Linked DNA regions of Ovis aries. The protein of the gene in region 1 interacts with the protein of each later gene in a pairwise test. Links are inferred from orthologs where the notes say so. Each region holds a gene or a part of one and is shown on either strand. Other genes may lie near its edges.

What was found.
Region 2: the proteins of HTT (region 1) and ING5 interact in binary tests that used the Homo sapiens proteins (3 or more experiments, as listed by UniProt). The link is inferred for Ovis aries from reciprocal best matches to the Homo sapiens genes HTT and ING5.

The regions. Positions count from the first base shown.
Region 1 is NC_056059.1:116,335,071-116,338,661, reverse strand, and holds part of HTT (huntingtin), read left to right. Parts: intron 1-1,222; coding exon 1,223-1,323; intron 1,324-2,147; coding exon 2,148-2,302; intron 2,303-2,575; coding exon 2,576-2,715; intron 2,716-3,204; coding exon 3,205-3,287; intron 3,288-3,591.
Region 2 is NC_056054.1:252,219-256,269, reverse strand, and holds the start of ING5 (inhibitor of growth protein 5), read left to right. Parts: upstream 1-1,234; 5' UTR 1,235-1,263; coding exon 1,264-1,300; intron 1,301-1,553; exon of another isoform or gene 1,554-2,122; intron 2,123-3,409; coding exon 3,410-3,481; intron 3,482-4,051. UniProt on the Homo sapiens protein: Component of the HBO1 complex, which specifically mediates acetylation of histone H3 at 'Lys-14' (H3K14ac) and, to a lower extent, acetylation of histone H4. Component of the MOZ/MORF complex which has a histone H3 acetyltransferase activity.

The DNA of each region.
Region 1 (3,591 bases):
GTGAGCGCTGTCAGTGGCAGAGGCTGGGAGGCTGCGCCCAGCGTGGCGACTCCACCGCGGCCCCAGCCCCACGTCGGGCCCCTCCGCCCAGCGCCCGTCCTCTCTCAGCCTCCATGGGGTCTGTGCTGCGATGACCCTGGGGCGTGGGCCGGCAGACACCGCGCTGCCACCTCTCCTCCCTGAGTCGAGCGGTGAGCGAAGCCTGAGCAGCAGTCTGAGGCCGCTGCTTTCGGAACTTCCCCGCCCTCTCCCCAGCGGCCCCCCGCCTCCCGCAGCCCGCCCGACCCCCGTGCCCCTGTGTCTCGGGTACCTTCCCGTCTGCGTAGTCAGTCCCCGCGTGCCTGGAGGCAGCCTGCAGGCTTCTCCGGACGCCTGCTTCGCTGTTGCCCATTGTCCTTGTTGCTCCCCTTTCCTCCCACGGGAGTCAGCGCGTGTCTGTCTGGACTTCCCGTCTCAGCTTGTGTGTCTGTCTGATCCATACCTGAATCAGCCGCTCTGTCTGTCCATGTGCAGGTCACCAGAGAGTTCCTGACATTTGAGGCTTTGGTTTTCTGTCCTCGGCACCCCATTCTTGCCCCTTGTAGTGTTGATTCAAGTGGCATGGCCTCCTCCCTCCTAGGGTCCCGGCCCTTGGGATAACTGCTCACCCAGGACCACCTTGGGAGCGCCTTGGGACAGTGGTGCTTGAGAATGGCCCCCGAGACGCCCTCCTCACGGACTGGACTTCCCCCATAGATTACACTCTGTCTCGACCTCCCGTCCTTCTTGAGGGGCCAGGGCAGCCATTGCTCTGAGCTTCGATGGCGCTGCCCTGACGTAGAGTTGACATGGCAGCCCGTGCATCCGTTCGGGTGTGGTTCCACGGTGGAGGCTGGACACACCCACACGGGCTGGGGGTGTGACTCTACGTAAGGCTGTCCCAGCCCCTGCTGAGCAGGGCAGAGGGCGCTCTGACCCCATCTGAGCGTCACCCGCTCAGACATCCACACAGCAGGGTCCAGAGGGTGCTTTGCACCAGGCCACCTGGGCTGAACTCAGCCGTGTCGGTCTACTCACCACTGGGCTCGGCCGGCAGTGAGGCTGCACCGCAGTGCCGTCCTGAGGCTCTGGGCAGTGGCTGTGTGGGCACCTGGCCAGCGAGAGCCACGGTGCCCACTGCCCCGTCTCGCAGAGAAGGCAGAGCAGTGGGGACCCTCTGTCTAAAGCGACACTCGCGTTCCAGGGTGGACCAGCCGCACCCAGTTTGAGGAGACATGGGCCACCCTCCTCGGCGTCCTGGTGACTCAGCCACTCGTGATGGAGCAGGAGGAGAGCCCCCAGGAAGTAAGGCTGCGCGCAGGGTCCAGGGCAGCACGCCCTTCCACCTGTCTCACCCGGGTGGTAAACGGGTGGCCAGTCACATCCTGGCCGGTGTTCCAAGGTCTGGGTGCTCTAGGATCATGGCCCAAAGGCGTTAACCACAGCGTGCTGCCTGCAGGCCGCAGGACTGTGTCCTTCCTTAAATGTATCTCACGTTCTGCTGCTCAGCATCCAGGTATGGTGTGTAGCAACGTTTCATCAAAAAGGAAAGGCGTGTCTTAGAGGCCACACGTGATAACTAGTGTTGATTTCTCTTGACTTGTTTTCCAAAAATTTTATGGGGCCTGGAGTGTTAGTGCATATTGTGGTACTTTAAGAAGACGTGCTCTGATACAGGAAAGCCTGAAACATTAAAAGCTGTCAGGTTCGCGTTCTTCAGATAGAAGGTGTGGTGTGAAGCGGCAGAAGTGGCGGTTCAGAGAGTGTGTGTGTCAGGCGTCACCAGGAGTGACGTTCGCCGGAGAGGAGCCAGCGGCTCGTCCTGTGCAGGGCCCCTAAAATCGGTGAGGAGATTGAGGACAGTTTCTTAAGAAGTAATTCATATTTGGAGCTTTGTGCTTGGAGGAAAGCTGGCTTGGAAAAGCAACCACTTGCCCATCAGATTTATCTCAAATCACAGATGTGTGTGGATTCTGGTGAATTTAGGCAGATGCTCCAGGACCCCCGCCGGGAAGGCACATCTGTCTGTCCGCTCGGGGCCCGTGCCTGTGAGGCCGCCTGGCTAGGCAGCCCCAGGGGAGGTAGTGTGCTGCGGTATGCGCCTTGGTAACCTGGGGCTCTCCTTCCAGGAGGATGTGGAGAGGACGCAGATCCACGTCCTGGCCGTGCAGGCCATCACCTCCTTGGTGCTGAGCGCGATGACCGTGCCCGTGGCCGGCAACCCGGCCGTGAGCTGCCTGGAGCAGCAGCCCCGGAACAAGCCCCTGAAGGCCCTCGACACCAGGTGGGCCCGGGAAGCACGTGCCCAGGGCACGGCCGCGTGGGAGCAGGGAGGCGCTGGGGCGCCCTCTCCTTTGCTGCCAGGGTGGTTTGGTGGCTGAGGCTGACGACCTGGCCTCTGGTGTCGGGGGCCGGCTCCAGTGGAGCTAAGGGGGCGCCTGTGCAGGGCCCGAGGGCCTTGGCTGCACCGTTTCCTGGCAGCGAAGCTGGGAGTCAGGGGGTTCACTTTGAAGATTTTGGAGGAGCTGGGTGCCGGTAACCTTTGCTCTGAACTTAGGTTTGGAAGGAAGCTGAGTGTCATCAGAGGGATTGTCGAGCAGGAGATCCAGGCAATGGTTTCCAGGAGAGAAAACGCCGCCACTCACCACCTGTACCAGGCGTGGGACCCCGTCCCGTCTCTAGCCCCAGCCACCACAGGTTCCAGGGGCTCGTGGGGGGGTGGGTTGCGTGGGGGTGTCAGCCGCTCCTTGTGCCCGTGAGCACGGCTGGACTGTCCCAGTGCCAGGGTGGGGGCTCGGTGGGCACCTTGTCAGCGACCACTAACACTCCAGCTTTTGCAGCTCAGCCCACAGCCAGTTCCCGTTCAGTCTGGTTTGTTATGGAGAAAAAGTGATAGTTCTCATCACCCTGCTGGTCCTGCAGCTTCATATGCTGTGCGGGGACGGACTCCCCACTGAGGGGGCACTCAGGGCTGTGCGGGACGGACTCCCCACTGAGGGGCACTCAGGGCTGTGCGGGGACAGACTCCCCACTGAGGGGGCACTCAGGGCTGTGCGGGGACGGACTCCCCACTGAGGGGGCACTCAGGGCTGTGCGGGGACGGACTCCCCACTGAGGGGGCACTCAGAGCTGTGCGGGGACGGACTCCCCACTCTGCGGGGACACTCATGCATCCTTGCCCTGCAGGTGCTCTCATCAGCCATGACAAGCTGCTGCTGCAGCTCAACCCTGAGCGTGAGCTGGGGGACATGAGCTACAAGCTTGGCCAGGTCAGTGCCCGGCAGGCGGCCAGCGGGGCCGGTTCCTCCCCACCCTCCCTCCAGAGCTAGCTGACTGTCCCCTGCGTGGGTAGGGGGCTTTGTTACATCATTCAGAAACACGGGCCCACACGTGTTGTCTGGTGAGAGGACCGGTTTAGAACAGAGATCCCACCTTCTGGTTCCATTTTGTGTCAAGACCTCACCCTGACGTCCTTCAGCAGCCAAGTTTCCTTTTTCTTTCTCAACGTTCCCTTTCTTAGTGGCGCTTCCCCCTCCTCAGCTGCTCCCAGGGGCGTCATTTGGGGTCTTAAGC
Region 2 (4,051 bases), on another chromosome or scaffold:
GTCAGATGAATTAAAAAAAACGCTGTCCGGCCAGGAAAAGGAATGGAGGAGACTTGGAATGCACCTACTAGGTGGAAGAAGCTAATCTGAAGGGGCTCACATTCTTTGACTTCAACCACATGGCATTCTGAGGAAGGCAGAACTGGAGGCAGGGGCGGGGTTAGCGTTCGCCAGGGGCTCCCCCGGAGGGAGAGGGCAGAAGCAGCTGATTCTTAGGGCAGAGCAACTATTACGCTTGATACTGCAATGGGTGCCGCTTGACATAAATGCACAGCACAGAATGAACCCTAATGTGAACGTGACTTCCTTTTGTCGTTTAGTCGCTAAGTTGCGTCCGACTCCTTTGTGACCCTACGTAGTGGAACCCGCCAGCCTCCTCTGGTCCATGGGTCATCCCATGGCAAGAATACTGGAGTGAGTTGCCGTTTCCTTCTGCAGGGGATCTTCTCGGCCCAGGGATCGAAGCGGGTCTTCTGCGTTGGCAGGTGGGTTCTTTACCAGAGCTAGCAGGGAAACCTTAATAATAATGTATCAATACTGTTTCATCTATTGTAATAAATGTGCACCAGCCATGGAAAATGTTCATAAGGAAAACTGTGTATGCGTGGAAGGGGTATATAAGAACTCTTGTATTTTTTTTGTCAATTTTTCTGAGAGCCAAAAACTGCTCTAAAAATAAATTCTATTAATAAGAACACTTATCTACTCGAAACAATAAAACAGGGGTGGTGTGCAACAGTGCACTGGAGTGTGCGTGATTCTCACACCAAGCATTAAATGGAGCGGGGGTGGTTGCACAGACATTGGTATCACTTGGATCGAAGGGTGAGCAAGACGATCGCAGGCCCGCGCCTCCGGGAGTGGGGGAGCTGTACATCTCCGTACAGCCTGAGTTTGTATAACGCAGGTAAAGCTGGCAAAACAGTGAACGCGTTCCCCCTTTTACATGTCTGCCTGGGGTTTAGCACGCCGGCCCCCGCCCCGGAAGTCGCCCCCCCCCAGGCGCTAGGCGCGCTCCCGGGCCCCCCGGCCGAGCACCAGGCCCCCCGGCCGAGCACCAGGCCCGCCCGCCCGCCAGGGCCGCCCAGCCCGCCCAGCCCCCGCGCGAGGTCGCGCGCGGCCCGGCCGGAAGCCGAGGCGGGGGCCCCGCCCGGCCGGCGCCCAATCAGCGCGCGCGGCTCATTAATAGTGACTAGCCGGCCCCGCCCCCGGCCCTCGCGGCGCCGCCGCCCGCGCAGACCCGGAGCGCGGCCGCGGACGAAGATGGCGACCGCCATGTACTTGGAGCACTACCTGGACAGTAAGCGCCCCGCGCGCCGCCCCAGCCCGCCGCCCGCGCCCCGCCGCCCCTGCCGCGCTTCCCCGAGCGCCGGGCTCCGCGCGCGGGCCCCGGGGCACGCGGGGGCGGCGGGGTGGCCGGGCGGCGGCGGGGGCGGCGGGGGCGCGCGGGGCGGGCGGGGCGGCGAGGGAGGGGCGCGGGGCGGGCGGCGCGGGCCCCGCCGGCACGGCCGCGCCAATTCCAGGTGCGTCACGGCGGGGCGGGGCCGGCGCCAAGGGGCGGGGCCCGCGCGGCCGGCGCCGCCTTCCAGGCGACCACGCCCACCTTCCTGCAGGCCCCGCCCTCCCCGCCCTTGAACACGGCCTCCTGGGCGGGGCCCCGCCCCTTATCGGCTGGGCTCCGCTCTCTTCCCTGTCGGACCCGCCCCCTCTGGTCAGGCCCCGCCCCTCCGAGCCCCGCCCCGCCTTGGGGGCGGGACTGGCCCACCAAGATGGTTGAGTCCCAATCGCCTGGGACTCTGGGTCGGGTTTGGGGGGCCCAGGGCCTCGGAGTTCGGTGTTCTGTGCCTGCTTGTGATGTGACTTAGCTTGTGCCTCAGTTCCAGGCCTCATTTCATGCATTTGCGAGGCATGCAGGCGCAGAGGGTCACTGAGGGTACCGGTCCGAGCCCAGGGGCTGGGGGCGCTACTTACTGGCCGGGGTTAGGGTGTTCAAGGCAGGGGTCATCGTCGTGGCCAGATGTCCCGACGCATTGCACATGTTGCCCTCTCTGCAGAACTCCTGAGCGGGTGGCTTTTTTCCTCCACATTTCACAGAGCAGGTGATGCCGCCTGCAGAAGCCAGGTAGCTTGTTAAGGTCTCTTGCTGGAGAGCGGCGATCCCGCGTGGGAGTCCTTCGTCCTGACTCCTGTCTGGCCTCCGCTGGGGCATGGCCTGGGGAGGGTGGGGCTGGTGGGTGTTGGGCCCCGTGGCTCTAGAGCACTGTGCTGTACTGGGGATCACAGCCCCCAGACCCTCACCTGAGGGTGTTGAGAGTAGGGATTGAACCTCTGCTCTGGGGAAGACTGTGGTGATCCGCAGGGGATCACCTAGTCCTGGCCCAGCCTGAGCACAGGTCCTGGGTGGGAGAGCACCCAGGTGCCTGTAGGGGGGGCACTGTGGCTTGTCCTCTTTCCTGGTGCTTGCCTGGTGGGGCCCAGGAGGAGAGTCCGAGGAATATGATCCTGGCCTTTGCGGGCACCCGTGTGAAGGCTTGGGGACAGAAGCCCCTGCTCACTCCCTAAGCACCTGCTGTGCACCAGGAATTTTCCTGGGACATGCTCTCAGATGGGACACAGGAGTTTAAAGGTCATGAAGGAGTCTAGCATGTCTCAGAGTGCAGGGGTACTGCTGCAGTAGGAACCCCGGGGGGGCGGGGTCCCACAGAGAGGCTCTGAGGGGTCCGCTCGGTGTCTGCTGAGCCAGGGCGCCATGGGGCTTAAGCACCAGCTTTGTTTGATGAGAGGGGCCCATCCTGGCTGCAGGCAGGGGCCGGGCTTGGCCCAGACCAGGAGCCTGGCAGTGGGGACAGGAGACCAGTGTGGTGCAGGGTCCTCCCTGTGCTGTCCTTCCTGGTCTGTTTAATTTTAAATAAACTCTCATAAAATGGGAAACTCAGTCCGTCTGTGGTACTGGCCCCATTTCAGGTGCTCAAGTAGCCCAGAACACGTGGCCAGTGCCTCTGTGTTGGGCAGCTCCATCTTTGCATCACGTTCCCCCACACAGCCCCGGTTGGTACTTCCCCATGCCCCAAGTTCAGAGTAGAGTTGGAGGAGGACCCTGGGGTTTGGGCTGGTTCGCTGTGACGGGGTGTCTGCAAGGGAGGAGTGGCCTGGGGTCTGGGGTGGGAGAGGCGCATGGGCACCCTCTGTCCTCTGTTTGAATCTAACTTCTTGAGTTTCTGACAAGTGCTCAAACACGTCAGCTTGTACCAGGGTGTGTTCAGTGTTTAGAGCACGTCGCTGGGAAAAGATACCCTGATTCTTCTTGTTTCCAAACCCTAGCAAACAGAAGCTAGAGTGGGCTTACCCCTTGTGGCCTTGAGCTGTGAGGCTGGAAAGGTGAGCTTTTGTCCTGCTGTGTCTGTTTCAGGTATCGAGAACCTTCCCTGTGAGCTTCAGAGGAACTTCCAGCTGATGCGAGAGCTGGACCAGAGGACAGAAGGTGGGTGCAGGCCTTTCAGTGCAGCCAGGGTGGGGAGAGCAGCTCCCCAAGGCAGGACCCTGGGGGTGGTGCTGCGCTTCCAGGTACCTGGGGCAGAGGTGCTGCGGGCATGGGGTGACGTCTCAGAGTGCCAAGTCTGTGCAATCAAACTGAGTGCCTGGTGCTCCTGCGTTTCGTCTTTATGACCCTCATCCCCTCCTTGCAGTTAAAGTATTTGTTAGCTTCTCTTTAAAAGATTTTCCCTTTTCACACTCTGTGTGTAGTTTACACCCTGCTTTTGGGTCTTTTGGTGTTAACTCCTTATTTCTGAGCACCTCGTTTTTGCTGCATTTCTTTATTTCCTTTTGGTTTTAGACTTTAGCTGTTCAGTTATTTCAGAAAGTGAAGACTGACGTCTTTGGTTGCGCCCAGCCAGCTCATGTGCACACAGCTCCTTCCCGCCATCTCCTGGGTGTTGTGGGCCAGAGTTCACACTGTCCTGATGTCGTGTCCGTCAGGGCCCCTGTGTCGGTAGCTGGCCGCCTGCTGTGCGCATGTGGCCTGCTTGGCCTGACTTCCTCTCGGCGTCTC